4 linked regions of the Schizosaccharomyces pombe genome follow. Changing the gene in region 1 together with any one later gene gives a genetic interaction. Each region holds a gene or a part of one and is shown on either strand. Other genes may lie near its edges. The genes, in order: mef1, SPOM_SPCC18.17C, ubr11 and txc1.

What was found.
Region 2: of mef1 (region 1) and SPOM_SPCC18.17C, extra expression of one rescues a mutant of the other (dosage rescue), as found in Schizosaccharomyces pombe (one large-scale study listed by BioGRID).
Region 3: of mef1 (region 1) and ubr11, extra expression of one rescues a mutant of the other (dosage rescue), as found in Schizosaccharomyces pombe (one large-scale study listed by BioGRID).
Region 4: of mef1 (region 1) and txc1, extra expression of one rescues a mutant of the other (dosage rescue), as found in Schizosaccharomyces pombe (one large-scale study listed by BioGRID).

What each region holds. Positions count from the first base shown.
Region 1 is NC_003423.3:1,176,342-1,183,370, forward strand, and holds mef1 (mitochondrial translation elongation factor G), read right to left. Parts: upstream 4,146-7,029; 5' UTR 4,052-4,145; coding exon 1,739-4,051; 3' UTR 1,535-1,738; downstream 1-1,534. Other genes in the region: translocation subcomplex subunit Sec66, read left to right, coding at 520-1,098; protein Trm734, read left to right, coding at 4,703-5,748, 5,802-6,450, 6,504-7,029. UniProt on the Schizosaccharomyces pombe protein: Mitochondrial GTPase that catalyzes the GTP-dependent ribosomal translocation step during translation elongation.
Region 2 is NC_003421.2:1,984,994-1,991,346, forward strand, and holds SPOM_SPCC18.17C (proteasome non-ATPase regulatory subunit), read right to left. Parts: upstream 3,183-6,353; 5' UTR 3,147-3,182; coding exon 1,680-3,146; 3' UTR 1,341-1,679; downstream 1-1,340. Other genes in the region: riboflavin kinase Fmn1, read right to left, coding at 458-949; fum1 (fumarate hydratase), read right to left, coding at 3,638-5,107, 5,637-5,729.
Region 3 is NC_003424.3:3,698,796-3,708,570, reverse strand, and holds the start of ubr11 (ubiquitin-protein ligase E3 Ubr11), read right to left. Parts: upstream 6,080-9,775; 5' UTR 5,777-6,079; coding exon 1-5,776. Other genes in the region: mde6 (muskelin), read right to left, coding at 8,734-8,989, 9,033-9,212, 9,261-9,775.
Region 4 is NC_003423.3:963,014-970,104, forward strand, and holds txc1 (poteasome interacting protein Txc1), read left to right. Parts: upstream 1-3,266; 5' UTR 3,267-3,697; coding exon 3,698-4,321; 3' UTR 4,322-4,732; coding exon of another isoform or gene 4,733-5,591; 3' UTR 5,592-5,653; coding exon of another isoform or gene 5,654-5,754; 3' UTR 5,755-5,878; downstream 5,879-7,091. Other genes in the region: SPOM_SPBP35G2.17 (uncharacterized protein), read right to left, coding at 942-1,262; shugoshin Sgo1, read right to left, coding at 4,733-5,591, 5,654-5,754; SPOM_SPBP35G2.04C (uncharacterized protein), read right to left, coding at 5,995-6,252, 6,438-6,858, 6,951-7,021.

The sequences.
Region 1 (7,029 bases):
TCCTTTGTATACTTGAAAAAAAGAAATAATTTCATAAATGAGGTGTTTTTGTCTTCCTAACTATATGTTTCGTCAGTTTTCACAATGGTCGCAAAATCTGTTTCTAAAATGCTCAATTGTTTATTATCCTAGTTCCCTATTAGTAAATTTTTTTCATTTCTAATTCTAAAAACTTTTACCTGAGTTTAAACAAACAATTGAACAATATCCGATCGATTTGTTTATCTAATAGCGCATCGCGTAAAATATTTTAGCGTCTTTAAGAAAACATAAATATCTCTTATCTACAAATAACAGAAAATTACATCAACCTTATAAAATATAAAGCATTCCAGAAAACACACTATTCTCCTTTCACACCTAAACTGGTCTTGCATTCATTTGGTCTCGAAGTTATATCTCATATACATATTTGCAGTCCACTCTGCAAAAAACAAATAATACAAAAAGGGTATACGAGTTGTTAAAGAAAAAGGTCCCTGCTTGCTTTACATACTTGGCCGTGTTAATTAATTCAATATGGTGTCGATTTACGTTCCCTTGATATATATTACCATTTTAATGGGCTCTATGTATGGAGTTTCTCGTTTTGTGCGAAAATCCAAAAATCAGGAATCAAAACCAGTATCAGAAGAATGGTTTGGAGAAAATTATTCTAGAAATATATTTTTCAGTCTTTTGCAGCAGAATCCACCTGCCGAGGATACACTTTTGAAAGCTGCTCTCGTTTTACGGGCTACAGAAGGTCTTCGTCGATTGATGAAGCTTAAAGTATCGAGAATGGCATTGAATAATTTGCTCAACCGCGGCGGCGTTGGTGACGAGCTAATTCGTAAGTTTGGTCGTTTGGAAAAGGAAACTGAATTGGAGTTGATGGATATTGCCAAAACTGCCAATTCATTGCAGCCTGGATGGAATCAGTTTATATTCCAAACTTGCAATGAAATAATTGAAAACGAAAAAATTCACAGCATAATTGATAATATTCCCAAGGACATTGATTCTATTTCGCAACGTTGGCAAACCGAAAAAATTCTGTATGAAGCCGCTGATGAGGAATTGCGTATTCAAGCCCAAAAAGAACTTGGAGTGCTATAAATTGTTTTAAAAAAAGATGTTCGTATGTGCCTTTATTCTTTTTTTCCTGTTTCTTTCTTGCATCTGATGTTTTACGTTTTCTTATCTTTTTCTTTCTTTGAAACTAAAATTCCTATTTTATACAATAATCCTTAGAACTCATTCATAAATCAAATTCAGTAATAGACTCCATAAAGGGGGCTTGCTTTATCACTGTCCTTACCTTTATATTGAAAGTCATACTTTTTTCCTATTCATATTATCTATCATCCTATTCCTACTCCCTTTTTTTTCCAAACCAATAACAAAAATATGGAAAGAAAGAAGGAAAAAGAAAAAAGCACTATTTGAAAACAAGTTATTGGAATTCAAATGTATGTTCTGGCCAAAATGTCTCCGTTAAGAGCTCAGCCTTTATAAGTTGGTCTATAATTTACTCTTCATATTCTTTAATATACTCATTCTCTGTTCCATGAACTATCTTGCACAAAAAAAATTGTACATTACTTGTATGGTAATAATCTGGGTATTTATTTTTTTTATTTGCATGTAGATTGCTGCGTTAGTAAAGAGGAGAGTGGATCAAAATTTTTTTTTTTAAATAGAAATGACTGGTTACCAAAAACTTTGCTGTTGCTTCATTTAAAACGGACTTCAAAAATTATTTTTGTTGTTGTTTGTTGTACGCGTCAACAAGTTCCTTCTGCACATATTTTGGTGCTGGAAGATATTTGAGAAACTCCATGCTAAACTCACCCTTGCCTTTAGTCAAGGCTCGTATATCCGAGGAATAAGAAAACATGCTGTTCAAAGGGACCTCCGCCTGCAACGTAAACTCATCTTCGTCTGTATCGCTATCGACAATAGTCGCCTTACGCTTATCAAGATTACCAATTACACCACCTTGATGTTCAACAGGCGCCGTTATGCTTACGTTCATAATTGGTTCCAAAACCATTGGGTTCGCTTGCAAGAAAGCTGTACGGAAAGCAGAAATGGTGGCTAAACGAAATGCCAATTCAGAGGAATCAACGGGATGATAAGCACCATCTTCTAAAACGAACCTGCAATTTTTTATAGGATGACCAATGAGAAATCCTTTTTTCAATGCTTCGTAAAAAGCTTTTTCACAAGCTGGAATATACTGCGTAGGGACTGTTCCACCGGTAACTTTGTTGATAAATTCACAATCAACAACGTTTCCAGATTCGTCTTCCACACCATCCATGTATTCAATGTACCCTTCTACTTTTGCATATTGACCGGCTCCACCAGATTGTTTTTTGTGCAGGTAGCTGAAAGGTACCTTTTTGGAAAGAGTTTCCCGGAATGCAACTCTTGGTTTACCCGTTTCACAGTCAACCTTGTACTCACGACGCATACGTTCGACATAAACTTCCAAATGAAGTTCACCCATACCACTAATGATGGTTTCTTTCGATTCATTATCCAACTGCACACGAAAAGTGGGATCTTCACGCTGAAAGCGATTCAAAGCCTTAGAAAAACTGGTTGTATCTTTGCTCTTCGGTTTTAAAGAAAGTGAAATTACGGGTTCTGGTACAAACATTGAAGTCATAGTATACGATACGGAACCGTCCGTGAAGGTGTCTCCAGAAGCGCATTCGATACCAAATAACGCACAAATCCCTCCAGCTTCAACCTTTTCGATTTCTTCCATATCATTGGAATGCATACGAACGAGGCGTGAAACTTTTATTTTTTTTGTAGAATTGACATTGTAAATGTAATTACCCCGCTTGAGTGTACCTTGATAAATTCGCAAATAGGTGAGCTGGCCAAACCTTCCCTCCTCGAGTTTGAAAGCAAGAGCGACAAGCGGCTTCTCACTGCTAGGAACAAGGGATACTGGCTTTTCTGAGTCTGCTGCATTCAAAGCTATATTTTCGACCTCAGAAGGGTTGGGTAGGTAGTCGCAAACAGCATCCAAAACAGATTGAACTCCAACATTGGACAAGGCAGAACCCATTAATACAGGTGTAAACTTCCTTGCAAGTGTAGTTCTACGAATAGCTCCCATAAGCTGCTCAGGTGTAGGGTCTTCTTCCATTACGTATATATCAGCAATTTCTTCGTCTAAATCGGCAAGCTTTTCAATTAAAGCTGAGCGCTTTTCTTTTGCTAGTTCAATAAGATTCTCAGGAACCTGCTGAGAAATTTCGATTTTCTCACCCTTCGACCCACGATTATAAATTGCACGCATTTGTATAAGATCAACCACACCTTCAAGTTTGTCTTCTTGACCTATAGGAATTTGAACAGCTGCAGCGGGAATTTTCAATTTTGTGTTTATTTGCTGAATGACCTTCCACGGATCTGCACCCATACGATCCATTTTGTTAACAAAAGAGATCCTGGGGACATTGTAGCGGCGCATTTGTCGATCAACTGTGATAGTTTGCGATTGAACACCGGAGACAGCACAGAGTACCAACACTGCACCATCTAGCACACGTAAGGCACGCTCCACCTCAATGGTAAAATCAATGTGACCAGGTGTATCAATAATATTAATGTTATAACTTTTCTCAAAGTCAGTTTTTTGTTTTTCGTTAGCTTCAATCTGATCCACAGTACGTTCCCAAGTGCAATGGGTAGCAGCCGATTGAATGGTAATTCCTTTTTCCCGTTCAAGTTCCATGAAATCCATTTTTGCTCCGACATTATCCTTTCCTCTGACTTCATGAATGTCTTTTATCCTTCCTGTATAGTACAAAACTCTTTCAGTAAAGGTAGTCTTGCCGGAATCAATATGGGCAGATATTCCAATATTTCGAATTTGTTTAAGTCGCTTTTTATCGTTATCATTCAACTGTTCTTGGATATTCAAATTATTTTCTGATGTATTAGAAGCTTCAATGCCCGTATTTGCTACTGACGCGTAACCACGGACGACTAAAGTAGAAAGTCTGGGGAGGCGGCTTGTCAGCGACCTAAATGATAATTTTAGCATTTTATATTATTTCAATAGAATATAAAAACAGCCATGAATAACATAAACAATAAATTCCTAGCTTTGGGAACACGCTGAGGTGGTGAGAGTCGTCGAGCAAGGTGGGAGGAGCAAAGTCGCTTTGTTTACGTGTCGCGAGTTACCGCGGTAACATATTAAATTTATTTAAACGTAAATCAAATACTTACTTAACGCATTTTTAATGAATAACAAAATATACATTTTATATGGAGAATATATATGTATTTGCAATTGAATGTTGCTGATTATTTAAAAGTAGCTTGCTTATCGTCAAGAAAAAAGCGACTTCGTTCTGTATTCGGTATCTCCATGTTTAAATGATTCATGAGGCGGTCCAAGCATAGTACTTATAAAAGAAATACAACTATTTTGTCATGAAGTATTTTGGGCATTGTATCAGAAAGCGCGCTTTTCTAGTATCCACAATCGGTTTGAACCTCACCACCATCGCAATCTATTTCTACTACTAGGGTTTTTTGCTCTTTGCAGTTTTTTAAGCTGAGCTTATTCAATCCTTACTGCTTAATCGGTTAATACCATTTTTTTTCTAATTCTTCTCACGGTTTTTATGACGGCGTATTATATTTAGCTTGAAGAATCTGGACTTAAAAATCTAAGAAGGGTTTAAGAATGCTTGTTGAGGGTGATAAAGGTGTTTTAGAGCCAGTTAACTTTGTGGGTCCTGTTACTAGCTTGGCCCTTATTCACAATGATAAGTTTTTATGCTGTGCTCAAGGACCTTGTTTAAGAATTTACGATGTTTCTGAAAGTCGACACGAAAGTGATTTAATTAAATCAATTTTACTTCCATTTCATAATAGAATACATGGAATGCTTCCTTGTAAACAAGGATTATTTGTTTGGGGAGGAACCTATTTTGCAGTTGTTGATGTTGAAACGAGCCAAGTTTACTATGACCGTATATCTGACTGGATATTTAATGCAGCGGAGCTTGGTGAAGAAAATAAATTTTGCGTCGTTACATCGAAAAATCAAGTTCATCTTCTTTCGTTAAGTAAAGGTTCGTGGGAAGTTACAAATACAATATCTTGCGAGAAAACGCCTCTTTTGTTTTGCGCAACGGTACAAATAAGTGGAAATGAAATTTACATAGCTTCTGCTTCCGCTTTTCAGCAAATTTACGTGTGGAAATTCAATTATAACAATCCACCTTCTTGTGTTTCCATTGACACCTACCTTGTTGGACACGAAGGTGCTTGCTTTGATCTCAAGTTTTCATCGGATGGACGTTACCTTTGCTCAGTTTCTGAAGATCGTACCCTAAGGCTTTGGTCGATCGAGTCGTCACCCTTTTTAATAGCGACAGGCTTTGGTCACTCAGCTCGTGTTTGGCGTTGCGTGTTTCTACCCAACAAAGAAATAGCCACAGTTTCTGAAGATTTGACCTTACGTCTCTGGACTTGGAATGATAAAACGCTCACTAATACTTACACATATACTGGTCATCGCGGGAAACACATATGGTCACTAGTTGTCTCCTCTGCGAACCCAATAATATATACCGGTGGAAATGATGGATCAGTTAGGTCTTGGGATTACAAAACTCGTATTCAGGAATCCTGCATCTCAGTATCCTCATTGTTCACCTCAAAGACTTTGCTTGCTTCTTTTTGTTTTGTTAAATGTCAAAAATTATTATGCCTTGCCAAAAATGGGTAAGCGATTTGCATGCTATCAAATATTCATCTGTCTAACCCAATTAATTTAGAGAAATGTCAATTATAGATAATAAAGGAAAAAAAGCTATTCCTGCTTTGACTACCACATCGGACATGTCTATAATTCGTTCTTGGAAAAACTCTTTTTTTGTTGCTGCTGCCTCCAACAAAGGTACTATATATGTGTTTTCATATCAAAATACGAATTTATTAAAAGCTATTGATTTGCATAGGGGAAAGATTCAGCAACTGCTTACTTATCAAGTTAAAGAAAGATATTTTCTACTATCAAAATCATTTGTAGGAAAAAACCAATTTCGAGTTTACTTACAGGAATTTGATTTTGAAGCCGATAAGGTCAACCTAATTTCAACAATAGAACTGGAGTTGCCGGCAACATTTGATCCGACTTCTCTTACAGTTGATGAAGAATATTCAAATTTTTTAATTGGTTCTCGAACAGGATCGCTGGCTTTGTACAATATTGGTGAAAGCAACTACCTTTCTGTATGGAGGAGAATTCATGAATTTGATGCAATTTCATCCATTCACATCAAGTCGTCAAAACGTGATTACCTCTTAATTCAAACAGTCGGACGTGATGGTTATGTCAATTTATTTTCAATTCCGAGGGTAGAAAAAAGTGCTGTTCCTCAGGAGCTGTGTTCGAAAAAATGTTGTGATGGTATACTAAGCGGGGTGAGTATTATCTTTAAGAATATACGGTTCATGGTTCAGCTAACATATGCTAGGGTTTGTGTAAAAAATTAAAAAATGGAAAGGAAAATCAATGGGTTTGGGGTTTTCATGCATCAAATTTTTTTTTAAGGGATGAGACAAATGAAACTAATGTTTTCTTTATTGATTGTGGAGGTAGTCATCGTCCATGGGCTTTTTCAATGGAGATGGACATTCAAAGTTTTGCATCTTATAGAGCAAATCAACTTTATATTTATAGCACTGCTTTAAATCTTTTGCAAAGAAATTCTGTATTACAAAATGGTTTGCATGGGCGTGAGATTCGAGCAATGGATTTCAATCCTTCAGGGGATCTTTTATTATCAGGATCTGAAGATACTAAAGTAACCCTGCTTGAGTTTCAGAGTAATGGAAACATAATTCCTCTGAATTCTGTCAAGTTTCATAATTCAGGAATCCAATCGCTGACCTGGTTTAGCGATGATATTTTATTTTCCACTGGTGGTCTTGAAGAGTTAAATGTTTATAGGCTAATACAAAAGCCAGAGGCATATCTGAAACGGATCGTTCATGAAAAAC
Region 2 (6,353 bases), on another chromosome or scaffold:
ATAATCGTTACTTTTCCATTTCTTTGTTTTATCTTTACAAACAGAAAAAATGATCATTTACGTTCTTGTTTTCGCTTCTTTTTCTTACTTACTGACTCTCTTCCACCTGTCTCTGTTCCTTCATTGTTTTTTTTTTTTTTTCATTCTCATCCGACCAAATACTATCGTTCTTTATAATCAATGAAATACAATAAATGTTTATTAAAATAAAAAAAGTTTAAGTACGATTATGGCAGTACTATTGTGTTCACAAAATTGTAAATCTTTACAGTCATTGCCATCTGAAATTAACAAAATGTATTTAAAAAACAAAAGCCAATCTAACCAAATACTTATTAACAAAAAGGAAGAGAAATTAAAGAAGGAATAATACAGCAGGATTTATTAAAGCATTTTGGCAGCGGCAAGGATGAGTAAAAGTACACAAAAAGATTTCTTTTAAGGATCTTATTGTATTTTATACCTTGAAAAATGGGTCCTTCTTATAGCTAGAATAAGAAGGACGATCCATGCTATTTAAAGCAACTCTAATATCGGTGTGTATATCTTCGATTAATTTATCTAAACCGGCATAATTTAGCTCAGGCCTAATGTATCCCAAAACAATAACACGCATTATTTCTTCGTAAAAATCTTCACCTTGTCTTTCTATGAGATGCACTTCTGCACTTCGTAGCTTGTTTTTATAGTACGGATTCCATCCAACACTCATCACCATGGGGAATACTCGTTTTTGTACCATAGCATATCCAAAATAAACACCAGAATCTCTATATCTAAGAAGCTCTTGAATTGCATCTTCTGATATATTTGCAGTTGGAATTCCAAGCTCTTTTGAGCCTCTACCAAAGCCATGAACAACTTTCCCTTCGAAGCGAATAGGATAAGGGCTTTGCACCTTTTCAGGACCAACAATTTCAGGCCTCTTTTCTTCTAAATTAACTGTCATAGAGTAAATCAAAGGTTGCTAGCGCAATTGGAAAAATACTAGTGGAAGTAGGTAGTTAGTAAGCGTAGCTCAGCCTAATGAAGAGAGTCATGTTGGACAAATATTTCCATTACGCTTATTTTAAATTAGTTTAGTTGATATCTATGAATAACAAAAAAATAATAAAACAATTGGTTCATCAACCATTGACCATCAATGGTTAAATCTCAAGGTTGGTAATAACCACAAATGCTCAACGGTTGTTTAACTCTATTATGAATTCGTAAGTTTAATAAAAAACTTGCGTTTGATATTCAAGAGGAATTAAAGATTTAACCTTAATATAATAGCGCTTGGTATTCAAGCAGTTTTACAGCGCTGTTCTGGGCACAAAATAAAATAGTTATTAATTAAATTTTTTGAGAAACAAGTAGACAATTGCATAATTATTAGATTGACAAAAGGCCTTGGGTGGCATCCATAAATTCCGTCCCCAAAGACTGCCAAGTGAAAGTGAAATTGCAATTCATAAAAGCTTTCCATTTGTGAAAATATATAGGACTATAAATATCCATGTTAAGAAACTAAACACTATCCCTATAGCTAACAGCCATTTTTTTTTATACATCATATTTCAAAAAAAGCGGCATACGAACCTGACGTTTAAGGAAGTCGAAAAAGAGGGAAAATTTTGCTTGCTGTAATAATAGAAGAAAGCAAGATTTTTTGGAATATAATAGTTGTAAACTACTTAAGCAGTTTCTGCGGCCACTTTTAACGTTGAAGCACCGCTAACAATCGGCCCTTGCTGTAGTCTTTTAAGAATGTCTTCCCGATATCTACCAAAAGGTAGCTTGGGTCCGCCATGAGGAGATTCCATCATGGTCTTTAACACTTGAAACCGCAGTAAGCATGTTTCATGGTCACCTTCTGCTTCAAGTAAATGACGGATAGCGAATCCTTCAGAAGCAATTTGGATAGGCGAATTTTGAGCAATGTGTAGCAAGCATTGGTATGCTAGTTGCCTAGAACGAGGAATCGGAGAAGAAGCAGTGTTTACTAAAGTGCTCAAGGTGTTGGGAGGTAATATTCTCCAAAGCTGCATCCACAAATTATGATCAGGCTGTAAAAGAGCATGAGCAAAAGAAGACATACCCGGTTCGTCCATCAAAAATCGTCTTGTCAACCATCTTGGCACATAACGATTAGCTTCGTCCTCAATGCCATATTTCTTGATAAGTGCTTGAGTTACCACTGTGTTAGACAAAAAAACTCCGTAAAGAAGAATAGATGTAGCATCGTTCGTCTTCATTCTCTCGCGAACAGCGTCAAATAGTTGATGCTTCTCATCCAACGAGTTAATAGCGTCTGGATGCAATTCGCAGAGCCTGGGAAGGAACTTTAATCCAATATGATCCGTATAAGAATCCGCTGAACCTTTGTAGTCTTGAGCGATCGTGTCCAAATACTTTGTTTTTTCAGAACTTATATACTCGTATGTAAAAGGAGCCTCTAACATTATCCCAAGGACATCCACGAAATTAATTTGAAGCAATATGTCTTTATTGTCACCATTAATTACAAGCTTGTCGTCCTTAATCAGTTCTTCCAAATATTCTGGAGACTTCGTAGACAGTTTTGCGAACAGTGTCAACCAGCGTACCCTCAGCGTAGAGTTCATAATTTCATAGTCAACAAATGTAAAACGCTTTATAATTAAATTAAAGTAGTATGGAAAATCTGCCATATCGAATAGCAAAACAGTAGCTTCTTCGGAAACTGCTATGCTTCGAGAGTTGATGCATGCCATAATCGCCTCAAACAGTGGTTCACCAATCTCCTTCTTTTCCCAATTTGCACGGCGTATAAGGTGCAGACAAAAGATTTCGACATCTGTAGAAGGATGTTCAAGTCCAGTAACCAAGTAAGATTCAATTCCAAACTTTTTCAAATCGGCCCAACTCATTGGCTCAAGCAGCTTACCCAAAGCCTTCATAATCGGCTCGGTAGGTATTGGAAGCTCAAAACAACTAAGTATGGTATCCAAGAGTCCTAAGCATGATGGCCTTGTAGCAGGCGTTATACTTTCACGGAACGCATCTATGGCATCAGGGATTTCACGAACGATAACCGACGGGTTTGAAGGGAGATCTTTCAATAACTGTAATAGTCTTCTACCGGGTCCTGGTAAGCCTGGTATGAGTTCTATACTATCCATTTGGCTTGTTTTTAACAGATCCCGTATATTGGCGATGGATCGGCTGAAATCAGGCAAGAGGCAATTTTATCTCGTTTAAGTAAGCTTAATTTTAACCGAGCAACCGAATATCAAGGAAATACACATACAAAGAAAAGGGTATCAAACACCTTTGCATTCTTGGTTTACGACTATAACTGTAGGGGTGGAAAACAAAGAAACACTTAATCAAAATTACGCATTAATCTACTTCACGAACTAACCATTTTTTTTAAATGAGTGCCTACTATTTTGTTTGAGAGCCTATGGCTTGTGCAAGAAAAAAAAACTCATTTAACATAATGGGTATTTTTGCAAAAAAGCTAGTTAATATTATGAGAAGGGGAATGATTTTCGTAAAAAGTAAGTTGAGAGAAGATAAAAGAGAAGGATGGATAAAGAGCATGAAAAAGGATAAAGAGCAACAACTGATGATCCAATATTAACGGACCAACAAGTAGAGTGGTAAAAAATTATACTTTCTTAGCTGAAATCATTAATTCAGGGCGAACCCATTCATCGAATTGCTCGGGGGTACCGAAACCCAAAGTAACAAACTCGTGCTTGAGAGTGCTCTTATTTTTAAGAGCAGTCTTGGCAATCTTGGCACAGTTATCATAACCGATGTGAGGATTTAACGCAGTAACAAGCATCAAGGAATCACGAAGATGACGGGCAATACCTTCGTAATTTGGCTCAATGCCGACAACGCAATGATCAGTAAAAGACTCGCAAGCATCCCCTAAAAGACGAATACTGCTTAGAATGTTCTTTGCTAAAAGAGGTTTAAAAACATTGAGTTCACAGTGTCCGGAGGCACCAGCGACAGTAATAGTGGCATGATTGCCCATTACTTGAGCACAAACCATTGTTAAGGCTTCACATTGGGTGGGGTTTACTTTGCCTGGCATGATTGAACTTCCAGGTTCATTAGCAGGAAGGATCAATTCGCCTAAACCACAACGAGGGCCAGAACCAAGTTGACGAATATCGTTAGCAATTTTCATAAGAGAACAAGCAATAACATTTAAAGCACCACTCATCTCCACAATCGCATCATGGGCTGCAAGAGCCTCAAACTTGTTAGGGGCGGTCTTAAACTCAATATTTGTAAGCTTTGAAACCTTCTCAGCAACCTTCACGTCAAATCCTTCAAAAGTATTTAGTCCAGTACCCACGGCAGTACCACCTTGAGCGAGAAGACAAAGACGAGGAAGAGCGTTGTTTATGCGCTCAATGCCATAACCAACCTGAGTAACATAGCCGGAAAATTCTTGACCTAAAGAAAGAGGAGTGGCATCTTGCATGTGGGTTCGACCGATTTTGATAATGTTCTTAAACTCCTCTTCCTTACCCTTCAAGGCCCGGTGGAGGTGCTTCATGGCAGGAAGTAAATGAGTGTGAATTTGCAAAACAGAGGCAATATGCATAACAGTGGGGAAAGTGTCGTTAGAAGATTGAGACATGTTAACGTGATCGTTTGGATGAACGGGCTTTTTCGAACCTAACGTACCACCAAGGATTTCTATGGCACGATTAGCGATTACCTCGTTACTGTTCATATTGGATTGGGTGCCCGAGCCAGTTTGGAAAACAACCAAGGGGAAGTTATCATCCAAACGACCATCAATGACTTCTTGGGCAGCCTGTTCAATGGCATCTGCAAGTTTGGGATCCAAACCGAATTCACGATTAACAGAAGCAGCCGCACGCTTTAAAACTCCAAATGCGCGAACTAAGGGAAGAGGAAGTCGCTCTTTTTCACCACCAATTCGAAAGTTTTGAAGAGAACGCTGAGTTTGAGCACCCCAATACTTTTCTGCAGGGACTTGTATGGGACCAAAGGTGTCAGATTCCTGTCGGAACTCGCCATGCTTACCGCCTTTGGGAATGAGATGATAAGTCGGAGTAGTGGAATTCATTCTATGAGTTTTTAGAGGTAACTAAAAAATAAAAAGTTAGTGTCATACGCAAATTGCATAAATCAATAGAGTAAAGCGAAATAGATGTGACTCAACCGCTGCATCTTGCTGAAACCGCGAAAGCTGGAACTCTGTGCCACGCCATTGTTCATTCGCAAGAGTAGATGGAACCAACGAAAGAAACAGAAAAACGAAGTGTATTCTTCAATTTCTTCAGCCGTATTCGAGCATTACAACAAAAACAAATGCCGACACATCAAAACACTGAACTTATTCTTTTCATAATAATATTTCGTGGTGTTAGTGGATCATGCGTTTCAATGGGATAACGCACGACTAAACAAGGCATATCACAAGAGTTATGGAATGAACGGTTAACAAAACGGTTAAACTAGCAAGTAGTCATTTAATAAAAAAAGAGAGAAAACAAGTACGAAGAGCAACTCTTCTTTTTTTAATAGGTAACTACTTCGCAACATTCATGACTTTTTCTCTCTCCAACCGATTTTCACGGAGTCTCATTCTAAAACACAAATTACAATTTACTTACACCAGTGAGTGTTGGGGTAATCAATCTTCTGCAAGGCAAACCGCCAGCTCGAAAAATCGCTTTAGCCGTGCTGATGTGGGCAACAGAAGCCATGTGGGTTATTTTAAAAAGAAAATTATACTCTTCTGAATAAGGCAAATTTTACGGGGATACGGACAATTATCACCGTTACAAGTAGTAAACACTGAGATGACGAACAACCTATCGGAAACCTGAGGATGGAACGAAATGGAGAAAACTACAAAACCGATAAGAAAATTGAAAAAAACAGTTTTGTGTATTTTATTTATCCAAAAGAAAGATGGTTTGCAAGTGCTCACTTCGGTAGACCGGTGGTTATGAGACTGATGGAACGGGACAATAACTACGGCAAAGATAGCAGGTACAAGGGGAGGACTCTGAACAAAGTGGAAACAACGTACTTCACAAACGATTTACGAAATTTACCTAAAATAAGAGAATTTGATACAAAACAAAGCCTTTTCCATTCAAAATTGGAAAACGCACAAGAATTACACGATCTTAAGAGTATATGGTAGAAAGTAGAATTGAGTTTCACTGAATACGCGTATACACCGGCATTCATTCCGCGTTACTATTTGTTACCCAGGTTGCGTAAGGTTGTGAGCTTTAAGATAAAGATGCGTTACAGTTCAGTATATAGAATAAGGATTTATGTAAGGGTGCATAAAAAAGGTAGTAGGTGAGTACACAATT
Region 3 (9,775 bases), on another chromosome or scaffold:
GAGTTTTATGGCACATACAGCAAACTGATTCTTGCATCGAATCAATTAAATTTTCTAGCCTGTGAGGTAATTTGACAAGCTCATATATGCCAGGATATTCCAAAGATATAGTACTATCACCCCATGTATTTTGAGCTAAGTGTTCACACCAGCCAGCGATTAATTCCAAAATCTGATTATTTTCATCAGAAGACATTTGAGAATACAGTTCTTGTAAAGGAGGAACTTTTATTAATTTGGAAAGCCTTTCTAATTCACTGTCATCTTCATTGTTGGAGAATTCATTGAACTCGAGTGAAATGTCAAACATGCAATATAATACCAAAGCAACTCGTCGGAGAAACGGTAAAGAATACTTCTCCACCAAAGACATTAAACGAAGTAAATTAGACTCATCATCCAAAATTTCAATGTTATTTGAAGAACCACACCAAAGCAGTACATTCTTGCATAGAATATAAAATTGGGACTTGGATTGCTGACTATAATTAATGGTTAAATCAGGAACGACCGATGAATCTGCAACCACTTTTATCATAGAAATTATTGTCTTGCAAATTTCTGAAAGATAGAAAAGCTTAACGTAATACAAAATATTATCTTGTTTACCAAAGATTAGCATTAAAGATGAAATTTTCACAAAGTCATCGAAAGTATTTGAAAGCAAAAACGGTTGAATTTGATCATGGTCAGACATCCGGCCATTTCTCAACATGGACTTTAATTGCGAGTGACGATAGAAAATTTTACAAACTAACAGTTTTTGGCTCTCCATTAACAAGAGGGCTTGTTGGTCAGATTTTATGATCTGATCACAAACACACTTCAAAACGGTATCAGATAAAGTCGGCAAAAACGATAATGTTAGGGGTCCCAGTTCATTGAACCACACCGATCGAGTTGCTCCACTTTGTTTCGGAGAGCACCTCTGACTAACTTCTAGAGAAGAAACGGTATAGGCCAAACTGTTCAGTAAATCATGAGGTGAAACATTCGTAAATGTACTTCCTTTAACCAATTTCATAGCCAATTTTGTTGTTTCACAATATCGATCATAAAGGTCGGATACGTCCCGATTATTACTTTGATCAATTAATGCACCATCGGCTATCTTTAAGCGAGCAAGCATTGCCGAGATAATTTTGCTGTTTATCCAAGGTCTCAGGAAACAGCTTCTAAAAGTATCTTTCGTGTCGGACAGAGAACTTCGAACTAATTGATATTCAAAGCTCGAGGAAGACATAGTACCGATTTCCTCTAACCAACCATTCATGCTACGAGGGAAATTAAGGGTGTCAATGTTGAGACACATTTTGGGGATCTGAGGCATAGGCAATAACACATTCGACAATGACCTACAGAGAGGACACATAAAAAATTTAGCAGTAGAATACTTGTAATAGTATTCACTTAACCCAGCGGTAACATCATTTCTATACATGGACCTAGCAACGTAATAGTTTTTAAAACAACCTAAATGCATGAGATGACCACAACCGGAGACAAAAACACCTCTTATGTTATTTCCTGGGGGATAAGCACTTAATAAACGATCTTTTGAACGGTTGAAAACAACTGTATCATATTTTTTTCCAAATGGCCTCGAATGAGATTCCCTATCTAAATTAGGGGGAACACTATAAATTTCATCCAAAATGATTTCGCTGTGAACATCTGTTTTTCGAAGTAATGAGCTTCCTTGAATAATGCCGATCACTCCATATGGTGCTTGATCGTTGCATTCCTCTTGGCAAAGCAAACAATTACCACGGATATGTTCATGGTACTTAACTTCCTCCTCTGGCTCTTCTGTTGTAACTTCATCTTCCGTTTGATCTTCTCCGATATCGAAATCGGTATTTTGGGCAAGAAAAGATGCTTGCTGATCGCGAAACTGCTGCATAATTTTCTTCTGTTTCTCTAAAGCTAATCTTTTCTTTTCCTGCGTTTTCTCAATCTCGTTAGAATCCGAAGTAGAAGAGGTAGTTGAGAGTTCAAAGTGTGTAGCTTCCAGCATGTTGCTATATGCAGATGGATCATTCTTTTGTAAGCCAGCCAATACAGCATTAACTTTTACATGAACATCTTTGTATTTAGGAGACTTGAGAATTGCAAAACAAAGTTCCGCTAAGCAGTACGCACTGCCACCAAATTCTCTCATAATACTACTATCAGTCGGATAACGCTCAGCGCATGAACGGGAGCAGAAGTCATTTGATTTCGAGAATTCATGAATTTTCATAGAGATTAGACACAACTGAAGTGCATCGCCCAGAATAGTATTTCCAATATCGGATGATCCAAAGGACTCCGCTTGAACAAGTGCATACTCAATCGCACGAAAAATGATAAGACTAAAAGTGCTCGCATTGACGGCTGCAAAAAATATATCATGGCCGTCCTTCTCAAGAAATCTAATTTTTGGTTCTATTATAATCGACTCAGCACTTACATTATTTTTCTTCGCCAAACGTTTTTTAAGGATAGTATCTGACTCCTCTCGTTCATTTTTATTATAATGAAAATAATATGGATCCACCAAATCATAATATTCGTCCTTCAAACTGTAAACGCCAAAATCGTGGAGACCGTCAGGTGCTTTGTAGGAAGTTACTTCTTCTCGAATTTTATCAAATGACAAACTCTCTACTAAATTACTTGAAATAGTAGACAGCAATGCAGAATAAGCAAGAGGACCAAAGCATAGCTGTTGAGCTAATCGAGTGCGAATAATATCTTGGATATCAACATGTAAAATTTGTTCGCGCTCTGTTATAAGGGCAATTAATAACTCTAACATTTTACACAACATAGCTGGTATTCTTTCCGTGTCGTAATTGGGATGTTCATTATAAGTCAAATTATAAAGCCAATCAGTAAATTCAAATCTTTGAACAACTGCATTTAAAACCAAGTTTGGATCAACAAACATTAATATTGTTTGAATAGCGAGGATGTCCTTATCATAAGAAACTTCGATGTTATTAAGTTGACGATAGAAAGCGTCAGTTAATAAAATACTACGCCCATTTCTTATCCAAAGGTTACAATCAATTTGAGCTAAAAGCACACAAACCCTCAAAGGATGGTCAAGAAGAGCAAGTAGTGTATCCTTATCCCAATGAGAAGAAGCGTCAACACGACAATATGAAAATAAATTGGAAAGCATCCAGTGAAGAGGATGATAAAAACTTATAGGATCCCTCGACACGGAAAACGGAACTAAGGGCTGTGTAAAATTTGTCAAAGATGAAGAGGGAATACAAGAGAGAGGTTCGAGAGACTCTGCAATGTCTAATTTAGGGTGGGTGATGGAAGTTATGATACATTTTATAGCATAAAACAACCGTTCATATGGTGCTTGTGTAAAACAAGATGAAACAGTGTTACTGAGCATAGCTACCCTTTGCATTACAAACAATATATTTTTCCCATGAGGAAAATCCCACTGTACGTGACTGAGTATTGCCCGTTGTTGTGGAATCACACCTTGGAACACCCGTAACAAATCAATATACTGATGAACATAACGCGTATCATCCACTACAAGCTTTTTGACTTGCGGATGTTGAAGTAAGTATCCGAGATCACTAAACAAATTGTAAGTCCTTCGGGTTTTTAAGACTTGTCGGTTTAGCTGAATTGTGGGAGTGTATTCAATGTCTGAAGAAAAAAGGGTTGACGGCCGGTTAGACTGCGTTAGTAAGCTTAAAGTTGTTGCGTTTAAATTAGTTAAAAAATCATAGTCTTTCACAACGGCTTCTGCAAGACTAGGAGTAGTGAAAAATTGAACGGAAAGAAACATGACAGAGTGGTCTGGCTCTCTATCTGCAAAAAGAAACGCTGTAGCGAGAGACCTATAATGGATTACGAAACGTATACCCATAAGACGCTTAAATAGAAGATTTCTATTAAAAGGAACAACATACAATTTTGAGAGCAGCCCTCTTAACCGTTTCCAAAATTTGAGATCAAACAGCAAAAAGTAATCTAAACGAAGAATGGAAGATGGAGATTCAACGAAGCTATATGACGAAGGAGGAATTGGATGAGGACTTTTCCAATAATCCTCACGAAGAGATACTTGACAAACCGCAGCAGGGCGGGGTCTACGACGAGCGTTTATGATTTGTCGAAGGTTATTAAGGAGTTGAGAGTTAAACTCCGGGCGAATAGTAACGACATCCTGAGTTGCAGTAGTGGGAATAGGTACAGGAGTATGCGTCTGAGGATTATAATCTACATTTTCAGTGTTTTGTGATTCATCAGTTTCGTTTTGACTTTCGGTTTCCATTGAAATATCTTGAACATCGTCTTGACGAGTGTTTCGGTTTACACCAGGATAATCAGCCTCAGCAGCTTCATTTTCTTCTGTCTCCATAACTTCATCAGTTAAATCATCAATATCCTCTCGTTCTGTTTCAAAATCCAGAAGGTCATTTACGTCGTTATCATCATCAAGTGGATGATCAAATCCTGCAATAGTAGGATCGGTCATATCCGCTTCAAAATCTTCATCACCACCCAAATTAGCAATTCTAGTTACACCTGTTTCATCTTGAAGGTTTGCGATAACATCGAGAAGTTCTTCTGCGGCATAAATATCATCCTCGCTATCATCGTCATTAACAATCTCCAGAGGAAGGTTATTAAAATTCACCTCAGGCTTAGCAGGTTTTTCAAGGCCAGGAGACCAGTTCTTCAAAATTTCATCGCAAACGATAATTTGTAAATAATCAGCAAAATAGCAAACATGTGATTCTAGAAGATCATCGAACCATTCTAATAGAATACCACAAATATCTTCGCGAAAAAAATCGCGGGCAGTACGAACATTAACAGCTAAGTTTTCTTTTGAAATAGCGTTCGCGATTCTTATTGCTTCGTGAACTGAAGCCGATGTAGCAACAGCAAAGCGGCCAATAGAATCAACACGTTGAGCGACTTCAAGTCCAAAAGCCGTATTTGACGAATCTAACGCCTCAAGCACACTACCTACAACAGCGTCAAAGGTATGCACTTCGTCGTTCCAAAGCATTACACGGAAAACGTTGCAAGGCCTATCAGCTACACCATACTTTGCGCTGCTAAGACGAGAGGCCTCCTCATCTGCTAAGATGCTACCGACAGTAGATTGAGCTTTAAGATTCACGGGGGAACAAGAAAAGACATCGAGAATGAAGTCAAGAAGAATATGAATAGTTGTACGGATAGAGTGTTGAAGTTCTAGTGGGATCACTTCTTCTGGCTTTTTCTGCTCCTCGTCATCGGGGACATTATGTATCTTGCAGTTAAGGTCGACATTCCATGCCTCAGGATCGCCACAGTCGCAGATTCCACTATAAGAGGTTGAAATAGATACATGAGTCTCGTGACCCTCGTGGTTTGTGGCATGAAAGCAAGGAGCACAAAGAACACATGTGTTATCTAGCCCACAGTTCTTGCAACGATATATCACCTCGCCGGCACGAAATACGTGGCCACAAACCTTGGACCCAGAACGTTTATCTTGTAATTCTTGGGCGCATTCGGGTTCAGAGTGCTGAAGCCTCGAGAGACGAAAGTCAGAAGTAATGGCACCTGGCTTTTCTTTGAGAAAATATTTCCAATTGTCTTCGTTGTAATTCAGCAACGACAGGAAAACCTCTTGCAGCAAGTGCGTTTTTGATTCTTCATTTGAATCGTATGCATGCTTTTCCGCGCTTTCTAGAAGGTATTTTTGTAACCTAGAAGCCGATGGTTGCGAAAGAGGAGCCGGCGGGTCGTGCAATTGCATGAAATTATAGGAAAGGTTCTGTGAAGTAGATCTTGGGCCGCAAAGTTTTCTTCAATAATTAAATTGGTTTAAAAAAGCTATTTAATAAACAACAGGCACGCTAAAGCCACGGAATATACAAATTTTCATCAACAGAAAATTGGGGAAGTAATTGAAACAGCATTCAGTTGAATAAAGCAAACTCCAATCCTCCTTTACCTTCTTTAAACTTTTCTGTTGAAACAAATTTCTCTAAAAATATTTTTGGCAGCTATAAACCGTTCCTTCTTAATATTTCTGATTTGTATACCTAAATGGCGAGTTACTTCTTGCCATTGCCAAAAATCCATTTATACTACTTTCAGGTAACATCGTCACCTTTCTTGTATCAGTAGCCAATTGAAGATACCAAAAAATGACACCAGCTTGATAAATTCATCAGCTGTAGTCAACTCTTTAAAGCCATTTACTTTCAATTCAATTTCCTATTTCCTTCTTCTTAATATGTGTTAATATGTGTTGATTGCTTTTTTTCGTTTCGATCTAGTGGGCTTGATTTCATCCTTTGCCAGATAGGAATCACCATCATATGAGTTGGAAAGTAAGAGATATGCACCCTAGAGTAATCCAGCTCGAGATTCTTAAACTATTTATCCTTTTTAATCTAATTAAAATTTTTTCCTTTGGGTGATAATTTTCCATCGAGTTTGAATTACCCAAACTTCTCAATTATCTAACACCCCAAGATTTCAAAGTAAATATTGTTATCGCAGTGCATAGTAGATTTTAATGAGCGCTTGAATACTTCGGGCCCATGGAAATCATATCAAGGTTAAACAGTAGCATGCGCACACTATATTTTACTATACTATACTATAATACTTTAAGTAGGGCCAAAAGTTGATGGCTTGAAAAATGGGTTAAATGTTGAAAAAGGCTTTAAAATAATAGATAACCTTAAAGAAATAAATATTACTTCATGGGAATAGTTTATTTAAATTTCATTAGTTTTCCAGCAGTATTGTTAGCAAATAAAAGCAATTGCTCTTACATTGTTGCCGAGCACGGAGGCTAAATTCGACTCTTTCCAACTAATTAAGTTGGCACATGACGGGAATAGTTAGTGTGTTTAAAATAAATTTAGCAACAATTATTGCTGATCTTTCTTTAGGGAAAAAGGAAAAAAGTGTCACAAACCGGGATCGAACCGATGACCAACAGATCTTCAGTCTGTCATGCTCCCAACTACACCATTGCGACTGTTGTCGGCTTTCTTGAATTAGTAATATGTAATATGTTGTTTAGAAAGTGGTAAGTTAGTGTGCTTTTCTTATATTTACAATGTCAAGTGTTTCTTAAGCACATAAGTAGTATAATATTGAAACATAAAATAGCAAGTATAATACAGTTACTTTATTTTCTCTGGAACAAAGATGGCGATCGGGTAGTGAGATTTACAGAATAAGACAACATTATACCAGATACAAGCTGGAAAGAAATCACTTAATAAATTGTAAAGGCAAGACCAATATTGAAAGTATGATGAATGCCAGAAAATGAATGTCGTTCATATTAGCTTGACTGAATCATAGCAAAAATGGAATAGGTATTAATATCCGAGTTCTCCTCATTTTCTGCTTCCAATACCTAGTTTCTCATACAAAGTGGTTCAGGGTATTGACCACTATATGACTACGCTTTATAGTGCAACAATCAAAGCTTTTTTAATTGAATAGGTGCAGCTATCGCTTACTTTTATCTTGCTACACTTTGTCCAACTTTGAATATCTCTGCTAAACGTTTGTCATTAAGGTTAATCAAACGACTTTTATCATTCGAGTATGTTGTTACACTACCCTAGTTTCTTCTGCTAATAAATTATCAATCGTACGTTAGATGTAGCCAAGCGAGAAATCGCTACTTAGTGTTGCAAGCAAAGATGCATACAATGCAAATGCGCAAAGCCGCATCAGTAGTATAAATTGAATAAATAACAAACAGCATTTATACATGGATTTATCAGCCTTGGATATTGAATTTAATTATTTCCTCAAAAACCTAGGATAATGTAAAAATAAAGGGACCAGCCGGATTTGAACCAGCGACCTGGGGATCTGCAATCCCTCACTCTAACCACTGAGCTATGACCCCTTTCTGACATTTCAGTAATTCCTAATGTTATTTAACGGTTTTAACAACGAATAATAATATATAATTGAAGTTTGAGTACAATTTATTTATGAATATTTATTTTTGGAAGTACGAATCGTTTTTAGCAATTAAACTTGCAGTTGTATATATATATTTGTTTAATGATAAGAAGCTGTTCTTTTTTTTTGTAGTATTCAGTGTATTATGGAGATCGTATTCGCACGTGTCATAAAAAAAAATTTACTATTATAAACTTTTTTTTTTTTTTTTTTTTTTTTTAAAAAAATAAAATACGCATATACCTTCTATTTAAATAAAACTACGTAAAATAACTTAGTTTGAATATTTTTTTTTTCGAATTCGCGTGCCTATTTTAGTATTGGTATAGGTAAAATCGAAAAGAAAGTGTGGTATTAACAAACATGATGAATATTCATTCCTTTGTATGCAACATAAATAAATTGCGATTAAATTGGTTAAAGATGAATAAATTATTTATTGTTCTTGTGAATATTTAGTATCGTGTAGCATCAGGGAAAGGCGAAATTCGCATTATAATCATAATAATATTGGCGTCTAATACACTATTACTATAGAAGAATTGGTATTGCTATTTACTCGTATACTTTTGACTATTCACATGGTATATATTCTTTCATTTTATCTAAATTTATATGAGAGTTTATTATCCTAGAAATTCAGCTAACATTTGATTATCAAGAAACACAACCTAATTACAGGTAATGACAGAGAGCCTGATATTTTCGTAAACCAACATTTAGCGTAGTAAATTGGTTGACTGGAAGATTTATTCCCTTCAATCCGGTTCAAGTGAAAAATTCAATCATATTTAAGAGGGATTCATTCGGTGCAACAGTATTTTCATCAACCGGTAATAAATCATATATTGTCTGAAAAGTTTCAAATCTTCTTTGTGCAATATCTTTGTTTTTATGCGTTCCACTAAAAGCATCCAAAATCAGCGCATTCCAAAATAAAGGACTTTTGTCAAATTGCGGCTGCATAGATTTTTGAAGGTACTCAACTGCCTTAGCAAGATTTTCAGAGACTAGTTCATGAAAGCTAAATTATGATTAGTTGATTGATGTCGATACTTAGTACATACCGATGCAAGTGTAACTGGAGAGACACATTAGATAGACAATGCTTTATCCCCCAACGATCTAGAATATCTAGTTTCCAGAAATCTGAAAGCTTCATTGGTCTCAAAGGATGCGTACTTGCATTTCCACCCATTAAATATATAATGTTTCTATTCAAATCAGCCGCGACTGCGTGTCCAAACCTTTTAAAATTAAGCGTCAGATGATTTACCTTTTTCCCAAAGACATACCTGGAACAAGGATGTTCATTTCCTTCTTCTTCATTAATATCACTTATTTTAACCCATTCCTCTGTCGTTATGTAAAATATCCATAAACTTGGTCGAAGGACTTTGTGAATGTTTCGCTGTTCAAAACCAAACATAGTGAAAATGCGATGGTTTTTCGAATCCATAATACTCCTTTGACAAAATGAAGGACTTGGACTTTGGGATGTATCGTTTTTCCTAACATGCTGCACAGCTTCTCTTGTTTCTAACTTAATATAACACATGTCTAAGATGAATTCTTGATCATAGCTTTGACCACCGAAAATATAAAGTTTGTTCTCATCAGGAAAATATTCCATGCAATGACCCATCCTTTCAATCTTAAACTCACAGTGTTTTTGACGATCCTCATACCTGACAGCCAACTGTTCCCAAATTCGATTTTTCGTATCATATGCATAAAGTCCCTCGAATACCAGTTCATCTGGATCCCATTTACATCCACCACTCACATATACAATACCTCGCTTTTCGTC
Region 4 (7,091 bases), 210 kb from region 1:
TCAGTCGGACTGCTGCGCTCTATATATACATCTGAAAACTGCGCACGCAATCTGTCCAGATGATCTGACCTGAGATACCATACTATCGGTAAAATACGTTAAGAAAACAGCATACACTGTGTTTGATCTCATAATGCACATCCGACCGACTGCATATGCTAATACATTGCGTGAGTTGCGTACAATGTTACCTCTTCATAATTTGATTACAACACACAAGAGAAGAAAGCAGAACGACTGATGTGGGGGATTTGAGTCGGAAGTGGGAAACCGAGAAAAACACTGTGTGTACTAACTCGCATACTAAATGCACACACAAACGCTAGCTCAGCCGGGGTGTCATATACAATAGTAAAAACACACTACATTTTTTATTTTTTCATTTTAATTCTCGAATACTCTTCTACTCACTTTAAGCGACCTTTCGCATCATATTCTCCGCCTTTAAACCCCAAAAATACATGTGAGAAGACAGTTGTACGCCAGCTCACAACAACATGATGCTGATCGCACATCTTTGGACTGTAAAAAGAGGCACCGATGCAGTCAGTAGCGGAGCAAAATGGAGAACCATGGTGATGATGACTTTTTTTCAACGAGAGATTTAAGGCGATAGGTGGGGTCGAAATATAGCATGTATAAAGATGTGCAGGGCAGGGATGAAAAATTAAACTGACGGTTGGGAATGAATGAGAAAAAAAAGAAATTAGTTTAAATTATAATAAAATAGAATAAAATAAATGGAATTCAATAATAGAGAACTAGAGAAGTAAAAATAAAAAGAGAAAAAATAATAAAACAAAATTTACACATGATAGAGATATAAATATATTTCACTATTAGAGAATGGTTTTACTTTTATATATCTATTTATTTATTTATTTATTTTTTTTCGATTTCTAACGACAAAGTGCGAATCGTTTATTGATTATACATTGTATTTATGATAGTAGGTGAGCAAACAACCGGAACTCGAAAAATATTTGCGAAAACTTGCGTACAAAAAGATGAGTGAATTCTAATAAAATGAAATGACTGTGGCATGATTGATGTTTTGTTTCCCATGTCTCAATGAGTAGCATCAAAATTAATTTTACCTGTTGTCCTTGTGCGACACCCATAGCGGGAGAACTAGCTAAAAAAGAAGTGAAATCTCGTTGTTGTTTCACACATTGTCTTACAATTCCATGGAATGACTTGATTCTGAAGACGGTCGGAAGCAACTTTCTGCCTCGACCGGTAACGTAGAATTCACGTACCATTTACTTATACTCATGTAACCTTGTTGTAAGTGTTTGGGATCTTTGAATCTAACGTTCGCGGGATCTAGCACGTGTTACTCTGTAGTTTGCCACGAAGCAATAACTCCTCAGCAAAGAGCTAGGATGCAACACTCTGCCAACAGTAACAATCACCAACTGTAGTAGCTACTGGATCCGATCCCACCTGTGCTTCCTCTGTAGGTATGCAAAACATCCCACATAGGTACATCTATCCCACATTTTCACGTACCCATCCCACATGTATCCATCCTACATACATCCATGTGCTTTGCTATATGCAGAATACAATAGTGCTAAACGCATCAGAATCTTTTGGAAAAATTTTAACCTACTACTGGAATTCATTCATTTCATGAAATCGATTATTAAAGGACGTATGAATCTTGTTTACAAACCCATGAGGGTCTTTTTTGCATACTATGTTTTCAATGATTTTCCTTTGATCAGATAACGAACGCTGCGTGTTTCGGTTATGTGCTAGAAAAATCGCATTCCAACAAACGAGTAAAAATAGAATAAGATGGTTTAGTAATTAAACTCGAGAACGAAAAAAAAAATAAAATAAAAAAATAGAAAATATCGTATGTACGGCTTCTCAAGAAAAATTTTTTTCAAGTTCTTTTTCTTTTTTTGGCTCTAAGTAGGTAAGGCGTATTCAAATCAAAACTCCTTTCCCACTTTTTCCCATGTCTTCCTTGTTTTTCTTTGTTTTTATTTTTCTGTCAAGTTTCTCCTTTTTGGGACATTTATTTACTACTTTTTCCAGAATCTTGTATAAACACCCTATTCCATATGTATCTAGTACTATCCAGTGCAGCGGGACAAAGAGAAGCGTAGAGAAAAAAAAGCCAGTTATGCAAAAATCAGGATATTCGCTAAAGATATCAAGATGCAGATCATTCTCGTTTGTATTTTTTTTTCAAGGATGAAAAATTAGAAAAATAAAAAAAAGTAGAGAAAGAAAATGCAAGAACACTTCTTTGGTCATTTTTATTCAACATCGATTTTCTCATTAAAAATTTCTAATCCTTTCATGCTTTGTTGAACCAGTGAGGCATTTTTCAGTCGCATAAAAATATCAACAACAGGGGCGAGACACGGTTAAGGCAAGGGTTAACAGCGGTTCAGGTCCTTTTGCACGGATTCATGTCCGTAGCGACATTAGGAGTAAACCTTAGGAATATAAAAGTCAACCAAAAAATAGTACGTTCTCTTTCTTTCTTTTTTTTTTTTTTTTTCTCTAAATAATCAAATCCATAATGTTCAATCCTCCCACACCAATGTAATCCCGAATGTACGCATATCCATGTTTCTCTTAATAAACATTCACCATGGAAAAGAAAACACGTTACATATGGCGTGCCATTTCTTTCTTCAATGTAAAATTATACAAAGTTATACTTTTACGCTACCCCCAGCCTTGGCTTGCCCTCCCCCACCCTTCTTTCCATGACTTGTTTCACATCTATAGCGAACCTTTTCCCTTGGTCTTGCTTTGGTTGTCACCGTATTTCTGCGCTGTAACTTTGTCACGTGTCACCGTTCATTATTCTTGCATGTTCAAGCAACCGGTTTTTATCAAAATCCTATACATATATATTGTTACAATGAGCGCCACACGGCCCACATCCTACCCGCCTGGATAGAAACAATGTTACCAAGGAAGAACTTTGGTGTTGTCTTTTTCATGGGCCTTTTAGCTTAGTTGTTCGTATGCCTTGAAATTCTGTTCCTCATACAGTGCTACAAAAGTCTCGCTAATTTAACGTTGAAATTTCTACACTTTCTTTCATCTACCACGTAGAAATTTACGACTGAATAACTTTTTTTTGCGAGAAAACCAAAAAAAAAACAAAAAGGCCCCTTTATATTTATGTATAGATTTTCTTTTATTTATTTTTTAAAATTCTGGTATTCATACTATTCATCGAATATTTTCAAGTTGGTGTTTAAAAGTCAGTAAGGAGGTTGTTTGCTTATACTGTCAACGTTTCTTTGGTACAAAAGTGAGTTTTCGGTTATTGTCTCAAAATCAAAATTTTTTAAAAAGCAATAAAATAATTCATCGTTAAAAAACTACTTTTATATTCTTTCTTTTCAGTTTTGAATTCTGATTTTGATTCCATTTTTGTTTTTCTTTTGCTGAAGACTAGTAAAGCTTCTAAGAAAAATATTTTAACGCATAACGTACTTCTGGTCTCGGGAGGCTTTTTCGCCATATTTTTCCGCTTTTGGTTTTCTTCCTATTAGTTGTTTTGTTTGAGTATTTGCTTCCGAGTGTCGGTCTTACGTCTTAGTGTGCTCGCAAATAACTTTCCCTTTTACTTTTTGTTAGCGAGTTTACCGTTTATTTATTCACCTATCAACTCGCCTAGTCTTGCATTTTTAACGATTTCCTTAGAAGTTTGTACTAAATGTCTGGCCCTCACCATTGTTCCGCTGACTGTGATGAACATCCGTTTGAGTCTGGTCCAAATGATACCTTGTATTCTTGCATCCGAAAGGAATCAATTGTTACGCTGAATGAAGCTGTACCAGATTCCGGAAAACTCGTCTTCAAACCTTGGGACCTTCGTTATGATGACACTGATATCGTAGAAAGTGATGCTGATGACCAACTCTTGTTTCAGGTACCGTTTGCAGGTGCGGCAACACTAAAATCAATTTTGGTTCGCATTTTTCCTAATGAAACCGCTCCACACTCCTTTTCACTTTTTCCCAATCGTACCGACTTGGATTTTGACACAATCGGTGATGTCCAAGCCACTGAAACATTTGAATTTCCCTTGACTTTTGAAGGAAGCCATATCTTCGAGTTTCCTGTTAAGACTCGTCTCTATCAAAACCTTCAAAATCTCAATATCTTCTTCACCAAAAGCGACGGTTCTGATGATCCTACACAAATCGCCTACATTGGTCTTCGTGGTTCTTTTGTTCCCTTCAAGGGTGATCCTGTTGTAACCATTTACGAAGCTACTCCTAGACCTTCAGATCATCCCAAAGTTAACCAAGAGGAGGTTTTCCGTTCTTACTATTAAGCTCCCGGGAAGTTTAGATTCCTTCCTTTTGGTTTTTTCCTCTCTTATTTGAGATTTTTGTTTTACCCAAAGCAAAATAAAAAATATATATGAAACGATACGAATACGCTTTGATTTGGATTTTTTTTAATGACGGTTATTTAAAGAATATCTAACGCCCTTTTTCTTTTCTTTTTCTTAAATGGCTAAGTCTCCATACTTTTTTAGCTTATGTTTAAATGTTGGTTTGTATTTATTGGCCGATTAATTATGTGTTTATGTAAAAGAAATGAGCCTTGATTAGGTTCTTTTTTTCTTCCTCTATTATTTTTTGTTTTTCTCTTGAATTTAAATGTTGCTTGCAGTAGATTAAATTATAAATTAGCTGTGCTATAAATGTGAAAATATTTAACAATGTGACCTCAATATAATTTATGCTTTGCCTCTGGGATGTCGTTTGCGTTTTCTATCAGATGGTAAGTCAAAGTCTCGTCGTAGTTTAGTTCGCAAACTGGGTATTGCATAGTTTATCACTTTGACTGATCGTCTTAGTTTTTCACGTCCATTAATCCTTGGTTGAGATTCTTCAAAATCACATGGGGAGCTGTCTCCGGTTGCTTGTCCTTTAAGGTCAGTTATCTGTTCAGCACTTTTACAAGGAATACAAACACAAACATTTGATGTTTTAGCCTTTTCTTCTTCAGTTTCGCCCTCGTTGATGGATTCAAATTCGTTTTCTTTTAATTCCTTTGAAAAGATGGTGATATTTTTTTGCGGCAATGAGTAATTCACCTCATCTTGTGGTATTTTGTTTACGTGGGCATTGGTTTTATCTTTTAATATACATTTTCCAGGTTTTTCAGATAGAGCCGGAGGACCATGGACTTTTTTTTGGAAATCTTGAAAACAATACAATGGTTGCCCTGTTTCGAGACTTTTAAGTTCATCATTAAATGATACATACTCCAAGCGTTTATTATGCAAAATCTGATAATCTTCTTTCGAATCTTTATTTTCACAGGTTGTAAATTGACTTTTTACATTCGCTTCGAGGAAATCTGATGAACACTTTTTCTCTATAATCTTCAGTAAACTTTGCACTTGTGAAATCTTTTTGTGAATGGTTTGTATCTCAGGAAAGAAGTTTTTTAACAAGTCCTCAGTTTGAGATTGATTGCGAAATCGAGCTTCAAGTTTAACCAAATAACTTTTCAAAGTGAAATTTTCTTGTATCAAATCTTGAATTTCGTTTTCAGATTCTCTAATTTTTATAGAAAGCTGAGTATTTATTCTGAAAGTTAGATGTTTATTATTTACCACAAGGGATTCAAAAATGGTGTACTTTGACCTTACTTTATAATTTCACGATTTTGTTTTAAAAATTTCTTTTTCAACGACTCCATCGGCAATTTATCTTCATTGTTTATATTTGAATTTATAAATTGAAAGTTCATAGCTTTTTTAAAGCTTTTTTTGCGAAAAGCAATTAAGGACTTGCTGATGTAAACAAACCTGTTAAGTGTAAGGTAAACAATCGCAAACTAAAGTCTTGTCATATTGAGAAAGGCTCTTTTCTTTAAGGAACTTGCCAAATCAATGTAAATTAGTATATAATAAATTAGATGAAAGATGGTTGTACGACTTAATGCAGCCCATATCCTGAATAAAAATTGATAAAAAGAACATAAAATTAATTACTGCTTCGCTATCCGACAATATCCATCCAACTCCTGAGAGATTAAATGTAATATTCGACGAATTCTTTCATCAAACTTTTGGAAATAATGATGCAATTGTGAGAAATTAGATTCGTCCGTGGTCTTTCCTATTGCTATAAAGTTAGAGGACAAGGGAGCTTTATACTTTTTGAAAACACCTCTAAAGAATTCATAAGCTTCCAGTATACTGGTGAGATAACCATGAAAAACAGTACAAAAACTGAGATCGTAAGTCTAAGTAAGTAGTCGGTTAGTATGCATCATTAAGAAAACGTGTTAAACATTGGCATATTATATCAACGAACGTTGAATTTAACTACATGCAAAGGTATAACATTATCAACCCTAAAAATTGCAGATACGTCTTTTGGATAAGATCCCTTACATAGTAGTCCGCTTAAAATTTATGTAAAACTTACTATAGGTAAAAGCTCCATGTTCTTGCTAGCATGGTCTTTTCCAAAAGGGTATCTTATGCTGTCTAATATTGCTCGAAAATGTGAAATGCTCCTGGTCGTAACGTAAAACCCTTTTTCAGTCAACAAATAATTCCGAAACTCAGCCGTAGTAATATAAATGGAACGAGCAACGTCTTTAGCATCGCCATCGGATTCCTGAATTAGACATTGTATGTTTCTAGCATGAGATAACAAAGCGACCGTTCTAACTGTTAGCCATAAAATGGTAAAGAGTTTCTTATAAAAATGTAATCGTATTAAAATGGGTAGGTTAATACCAGATACGAACCTTTTTTTAAAATTGTTTCTAACCATAAACGAGTCAAGTGCTTTTCGGTCAAGTGAGACTCCATGGAAGCGAATTTTATCATTTTTAGAAAATCTAATAAAGTTAGTAAGTAAACTCATAAATCATTCACTTTAAATTTTAAAACTTCAGGCGACAAACACAGAAATTCTTATAATTACACACACATTTCAAAAAACTTGGCTATATATGCTTCATTTTTATTAATTCTATCCTCAATGGAGCTATTAGATATCATATTTCGAAGCCGCTCTTGTCAATTTTAGACTCAAATCGTTTAACACACATGCACATGCATGTGCACGCAC